Danio rerio: one gene and its partner. The protein of the gene in region 2 interacts with the protein of the main gene of each other region in a biochemical or structural test. Links are inferred from orthologs where the notes say so. Each region holds a gene or a part of one and is shown on either strand. Other genes may lie near its edges. The genes, in order: eme1 and slx4.

Region 1 (3,940 bases), on a different chromosome or scaffold from region 2:
GAGTCTGAACTGTCTAAAACCACCAAGTTGGTCTGTCTGGTTTGTGACTGAGAGAAATCGAACACAGGCAGCTCTTCTGAATCACTCGACTCACTGTCACTTAAGACGAATCCAGGTCTGCTGACGCAAGTCATGCTGAGGTATCATTCAAAAATCTGTAGTCTGACAGAAAAGTTAGAGTAAAATGTTTATTATCTAGCAGCCTTAACAATACTTATTTTCTAATTTAGCTAAAATCTCTCCATTAGAATGTGTCCTGTTTTTAATTTACTTTTTAAGAATAAAAATATTAACCATAAGACACCCTCTAATTGGCATTCAGGGTACAATTTATACATATAGGGCTGTGGGATTAATTGAAATTGAATTGCAATTTGAAACATCACGATTAGTTAATCGCAAGAGGCTGCAATAAAAAAAAAAAAAACATATATATATATATATATATATATATATATATATATATATATATATGTATATATATATATATATATATATATATATATATATATATATATATATATATATATATATATATATATATATAGTTAATATAGTTAAGTTAATCTCCTTCACCCAGAGCAAATTCTGACATTTTATCCTACCCATCAGATTATGCTACCAACACTGTATTTTAATGGCTTTGAGGTTGGGGTTGGGGTTGGGGTTTAGGTAGGTTAGGGCGATATTACAACTTCATATTACACTAATCCACATTAAAATGTACACTGGTAGCAAAATCTGATGGGTAGCATAATGCGTCATGTGTCAAGGTCTGACAAATCGACAGAACACTGGCTGTGTGTGACAGCCTTACTAGCCAAATGAGTGAGCACACTTTCGTTCTGGCCAATCAGAATTGCACAACCGAACTCAGCCCACAATCAAAAATAAAAAAACAAACAACAGAAAAGCGCTGACAAGTGGGATTATGGCTTCTGCTGCTGTTGTAATATGGGAATATTTTGGTCTCAACGTCAAACACCAAACAAAAACAGGTCATTTTTAAGATATGTCGCAGAATTGTTGCCACGGTTTACAGATTATTAAACTGAAGCTTAACTACAAAATTAAATCGTAAATAAAATCACAATATCTGTCAAAAAAAAAGAAAAAATGAGAAAAAACGCACTGCCCTACTTACATAGCCTAAAAATCTTATCAGGCATGTTTAGACAAGAATCATTTGTTGACATGTTAAAAGACTCAAAGTTCGGTTGCAAAATACCAATTGATTGTAATTTTACATTTTTGTACTTTTACCATCCAAATTACTAGTTTAACTCATTTGTCAAAAAGAGCTTTTTTATTAAACAGATATGTTTATTAAAATAATATTTTATTCACATAACATCTTTAGAAATGGAAAGATAATACAATTAAATTCAAGCTAAATATTGCAAAAAAGATTTATGACAAAAACATTTCAGCAAAAATCTTGATTATTGATATTTTTGAAAAAATGTATTTAATATTTTCACTAACATATAAATTTGGGCTACAGATTTTTATTTTGTTTATTTTTATTATTTATTTTTGTTATTTTGTTAGTTAGGCTCCACATTTGGGTTCAGTACTGACTAAACTAATGTATATCCACAAATATAATATTGCAAATCCTAAAGAAAATATTTAAATGAGATATTTGTGTGTACTCATATATGCGGAGCACTGTAAATTCCCTTAATTTATCCTAATGTAGACAAATTGCAAGATGGAATGTGCCACACTATATGTATTGCATGATATGGTTTAATAATATATGTTTTTTAATGATAATAATAAATAAATAAATAAATAAATAAGTAAGTACATTTATAATTTGTTAAAATACTGCACTGCACTTTAAATGTTACAGCATTTTATTTATAGCAAAAATCTTATTCAGGTCAGTGCCAATAGCCTAGCGGTAAAGTGCACAGACATATAGACATATATATTATATATATATAATTATTTTTTAATCTTATTCAGGTAAACAAAAACAGTCTTAAATACTAATAAAAAATAATAATAGTATATTATAAATGTTTGAATACATTTTCAGCAACATTTTAAACATTCATAATATGTATAAATCATAATTGTTTTTTAATTTTTTTTTTTTTGCATAATTACTTCAAAACAGATTACCACACACACTATTGCTAGCCGATTAGAACTGTGAATCATTTACCACAAGTCTTAGTTTCAACATAACCTGACCAAGCTAGGCAACTTATAATTGACATTGAGGTAAATTTGTTTTTGTATTCGTACATTTGTTCATTTTGGGACAGTGAGTCAGTGACAACTTGCGACAGGCTACTGTACATATTGGCTCTGAAATACCATTAGCACTATTTAACTGACTGTGAATAATATACTTTAATAGCCACGGGCTGCTAATATGATTTCACTGTTTAGAGTTTGCAAAGAATACTTTTCTGAAGTTATATTATTAAAGAGAAAGTCTGAATGTGCAAATATCAAATCAACTTTAACTTATTATAATTGACTTATTGCAGATTCGGAATCATATTAGAGAGACTGATAACACCAGTTAAGCAGTCCACTCTGTGGAATGTTTTACTGGTTTATCAAGGAAATATGATTAATTCAACAAAATTTTAAAAAGATTATTTGGTCGACACAGGATATTAAACCAGGATAAGTAAAACAGTGCGGGCTTTGCAATATTCAGCCATAAACATGAAAAGAACCGTCAGATATGACTTCAGACAAATTTACATTGGCATACACGAACAGAAAGGCAGCATAGAACAAACGTTTCCAACTTGAGAACACAAACCATATGCATTGAAGAGGTACAACTGCTCTTACAACTCCAGATCTTCTCAAATCATCTATTCAAGCTGTAAAAATGTAACATTCGCGAACTTTGTTTGTGTCTCTCTCTACTCACCCCAGCCAAATTCTGCGGTTCGCGGGCCCTGAAGGATCACGGGAACGCGCCCGTTGCGTCACGTTTACGTCATCTAAGATGGCGGCGCTCATGTCCTTGCTGTTGAGATCCAAATCATGTAAGTAAAATGTCATGTTTTTTTATTTTATTTTAGGATTGTATCATGTACTGTGTACATGATTTGAATAATAACTGATGACGTAATAATAGCGGACTGCTTTTTCTTCTGGGATCAGAAATGACTGTGAGTTGACAGTGGCATGCTAAGACATCATTTGCAATTTGAGCATGTGTTGACTGCAACATCAACATTAAACAAAGTGTTAAACCTAACCGATTTGCCTCATTTTGTACATGGTCATTTAGATCTTTAAGACTTAGGTTAAATTGATGCTTAGTTCACGAGCATTTCTGTCAAACAGATATCAATGAAGAATGTCATCCAGCATGTTGCACATATTTAGATGCTATTTTTCATTGCAGGTATTCTGTTCAGTGAAACGCCCACTGTTGTACTGGCAAGGTTTGCTTCAAAAAAGTCAGGAGGGAGCAGCAAAAACCTTGGAGGAAAAAGTTCTGGTCGCAGATACGGCTACAAAAAACAAGATGGTATTTTCTTTTTGTCTGTTGACCTTGATAGGATATTAAAACCATAACATGATTTTGTGTACTATTTTACTACTGCTAGTCTTTGTATACATGTGTTTTTATAATTCATTTTCTTTTTCCTTTTTTTTAATATATTTTTTGCTTCTTTTAAGGGAACTTTGTACATGCAGGCAACATCCTCGCAACACAACGCAAGGGTTTAATGCGCTGGCATCCCGGAGCTCATGTAAGATGTTTTTAATACATTACAGTATTTTGCTGTTATTTTTGCATTTTACACATGTGTCAAAGATAAGACATCCTGTTTTTATTTCCACTTCAAAATAAATTGCCGAAAGAGATTGTTGACACAATAATAATTTCTGACTACTGCTTAGTGCAGTGTTTCCCAACCCTGTTTATGGAGACAAACCAACAGTACATATT
Region 2 (3,909 bases):
CTCTTAAATACAAATGGTTTGTAAATTATGCGATACTGAATTTAGACATGAAAAATCAACCAGTCACAAATTATGAAGGTACAATTATTAAGAAAATTATAAATGTGCTCATGAGTCAAGAATAGAGCATGTTTATCTGCAGTTATAAACTGATTACTGATATCAATTAATGTAGAGTTAATGCTTAACAAATAATGAATTTACTATATGCTAATGCTTAAGTGATTCATAGTGTGTAATTATTATTTTTTTTACTGACCCCACTGACAGATAATTTAACTTTTTCTGGAGTTGAAAACAAAACAATATTTTCACTTGATTAATAATTTTTTGATATTTGAAGTAGAAACGAGACAAAGCAATGTAAGAAAAGCATTTATCTGTATTGCGATTATTCAATTTCTGTACCTGAATAATACACTTAAGACAAACTAGCATCAAACTATCTTATGAGACTCTTCATATCACAATATTTATTGCAGAAAAGTAAAATAATGCAATTTTAGATTTTTTCCAATATCATGCAGCCCTAATAGCCATGTTTTGTAAAATCTGTCCAATTATGGAGTCTAAATATGAATTCATACCTGTGAAGAGTTTCACTAACACAAACTGTGTGATGACGTGAGGTTAAATTAAAAACTGAATGATTTATTTAACTGATTTTAATGTATGGCAGTATAACAATTTATTATTACTTAATTTAACAAATAATTTCAATAAAAACACTTATTATAAAGCCATTCTTTTGCAACAAAACATAAACAATTAATACTATTAAATTTCATACAAGTTAAGAAATAACTCACTGATTCAGCTGAAATTTTAACAGATGTCCTTTGCTTTAGGACTTTACGGATGTACTTTTTTTTTTTTTTACATAAATGTAGTATAACTGTTGTATGTCAGATGAATGTAAATAAGCTATGCTATATAAATCTATCTGATAGTCAGGCCTTAAATACCTATCAAGCAGTGCATCTAATTAATTTATTATATATATATATATATATATATATATATATATATATATATATATATATATATATATTTTTTTTTTTTTTTTTTTTTTAAAGACAAAATGTATAATGTATACCAGGGGTGGCCAACCCTGTTCCTGGAGAGCCACCTTCCTGCAGATTTCAGTTACAACCCATATCAAACACACCTGCCTGTAAGTATCACATGGTGTTCAGGTCCTAATTAATTGGTTCAGGTGTGTTTGATATGGGTTGCTTGCAACTGAAATCTGCAGCAAGGTGGTTCTCCAGGAACAGGGTTGGCCACACTTAATGTATATTTTGCTAGGGCTCATTGTTATTCTGTAAGAAAGCATTTAATCTGTGCAAGTTAATCCACTGAAACTACACGTTTGCAATCTTCAATCAAAATCTGAACAGCTATTAAAACATTAGACATGATCAAAACCTTTAACTTCATTACTTCTGATCTGCACTACCTTGTGTAATGTCGAAAAAGTTAATCTCTTTATTAAAGTTAAAGTGATAGTTCACCCAAAACTCTAAATTCTGTCATTATTCACTCACCTTTCCTTATTCCAAACCTGTTTGACTAACTTTCTTCTGTTGATAAGAAAAGAAGATATTTTGAAGAACGCTGAGAATCTGTAACCATTAACTTCCATAGTGTTAGTTTTTCCTAATATGCAAGTAAATGGTTACATGTTTCCAACATTCTTCAAAATATCTTCTTTTGTGTTTAACAGAAAAAGGAAACACATAAAGATTTAAAACCACTTGTAAACTTTGAGTAAACTTTCGTTTTTTTGGTGAACTCTCCCTTAAAGATTAAGACTGACTGGTCACCGTACCTGTGTGCTGGACCCCATCAGGAGCGTCACAGTTCCCATCTGTCTCAGCATGTAAAAGTCTCTCTGGACTGGCTCTCTTAAACTGCTGCATTCTCCGGATCACAGCATCTTTCACCTTCCCCGTGGCAGACACACCAGAGTCAGCCTGAGGAGCACCAGCAGACACCGCAGTCTGACTCCTGCCGTTCAGCTGAGTCTTTACCGCATCTTTAGTCCTCTTTCTTCTCTTAGGCGGGTTTCTTCCAGATGACGGAGAGGATGGTTCTTCATCCTTGGTTGCTGATCGTTTCTCATCTCCAGATTCTGCTGGTCCTTTCCTTCGTACCCTTTTGAGGAGCCGCGAGCAGAGGTCTTTGAAGTCCTGGTCCGAGTCGTCCATGATAAGCTACTACATGCATGATCTGTCAAATGTGTAAAAGGGATAGTTCACTTAAAAAATTAAACTTACTTTCAATTTCCTCAACCTCAAGTGGTTATAAACCTTTACGGCCACACTTTATTTTGATGGTCCATTTGTTGACTTTTAGTTACATTGCATCTACATGCCAACTAATTCTCATTAGATTATAAGCAGACTGTTAGGTTAGAGTTAGTGTAAGTTGACATGTACTTGCAAAGTTTCTTATAGTCAGTTAAATGTCTGTTGAAGGAGCAGTATCAACAGATATCAAGCAGACAGTCTACTAATACTCAAATGAAAAGTGAGTATTTATTTTGACCATCAAAATAAAGTGTTACACTTTACTAGTTTCTTCTGCTGAACAATATATATATTGAAGAATGTTTGACACCTGTAACCATTTACTAACACAGTAGGATAAAGAAATTACGTTACTGATGTTTAACAGAGGAAACTCATAGCTTTTAAATAACGACATCTTTTTTGTTTTCGGATAAACTATCCCATTACGTTAACTATTACGTGAATTATTTTACGAATGACATACATTAAGAGTATCTTCTAAAAACAGCATGTGCATCAAGACCAAGGAGAGTTGTAGGTAAAGAAATAACGTTACATATTTACAGTACATTACCTTTGTTTACATTTTACTGTCCACTATTCGAACGGAATTATGTCGGTTGACGTACATTTAACGCGATTTACTTGATAACAACTTAAATATAGACCATTATTAAGGCGAACGTCATGTTATGTATTTAACATGAATAATTGTATGTTAAAAAACAACGATTTTTACATTAAAATGTGCCGCAGCTACCGATAACGTTCAAACTGCAGTGCCGCAGTCGCCCGCCGCCGTCTACTTCCTGTGACGTATGTGTACGCGTTGACGTAAGGGCCGCGTCTGTTGCGAAACATCTCCGAGTCATGTGATATAACTTATAAAACGAAGTTGCTAAAAAGATGATACGCACTTAAAAACGTAGTGAATAACTAGAGTTTCCTTCTAATATATGATGTATTAATATATATAACATTTCTATTTTATTCTAAGTAACATATTACAATTCGAGCGCATTAGCAAACAATAATAAATGTATTAGTGGGCATAAACAATGTGTTTTACATCGTGTTTATAGTGTTAAAAATGGTTCATTGCGCTCATGTTAGTTTTATTTGAACATTACCACATGCCCGTAGTCGGGGGTGGTTCGAACGTAACATGAGGGCAAGTCAAAACAGTTATAATAATAACTTATTATTATTATTATTATCAATGTGTATTTTATGTTTGTTAGTAGCTTGTTTACGGTGGTAATTGCCCTCTAATATTCAAGTGTAAATTTGTCTTTTGATTTAGCTTAATCAGTGGTTCTCAAACTTTTTCATCAAGTAGGCCTACCACCTCAGAAAAAATTGTCTCTTCAAGTCCCACCAAAATGAGCAGTATTGAAATACAGGAGCGTGGTTGGCCCAGTTACAACTCTGCACAGTTAAAAAAACGTGGCAGATTACCTCAGAAATACAGGCCATATGTAATTTATGACATATTATATACATAATTTTTGATAAATTTTGAAATGTGTGTAGCATGTACATGGCATATTTCATTTCTCCATGTACCACTAGTGGTACACGGAACAGTTTGAGAACCTTTGGCTTAGATAATAGC

Evidence for each region.
Region 1: the proteins of slx4 (region 2) and eme1 form a complex in vitro, tested with the Homo sapiens proteins (3 studies listed by BioGRID, with this or other methods). The link is inferred for Danio rerio from reciprocal best matches to the Homo sapiens genes SLX4 and EME1.

What each region holds. Positions count from the first base shown.
Region 1 is NC_133187.1:23,440,824-23,444,763, forward strand, and holds the start of eme1 (crossover junction endonuclease EME1), read right to left. Parts: upstream 2,944-3,940; 5' UTR 2,792-2,943; intron 163-2,791; 5' UTR 135-162; coding exon 1-134. UniProt on the Homo sapiens protein: Non-catalytic subunit of the structure-specific, heterodimeric DNA endonuclease MUS81-EME1 which is involved in the maintenance of genome stability. In the complex, EME1 is required for DNA cleavage, participating in DNA recognition and bending.
Region 2 is NC_133197.1:27,513,422-27,517,330, reverse strand, and holds the start of slx4 (structure-specific endonuclease subunit SLX4), read right to left. Parts: upstream 3,107-3,909; 5' UTR 2,869-3,106; intron 2,833-2,868; exon of another isoform or gene 2,665-2,832; intron 2,233-2,664; 5' UTR 2,211-2,232; coding exon 1,832-2,210; intron 1-1,831. UniProt on the Homo sapiens protein: Regulatory subunit that interacts with and increases the activity of different structure-specific endonucleases.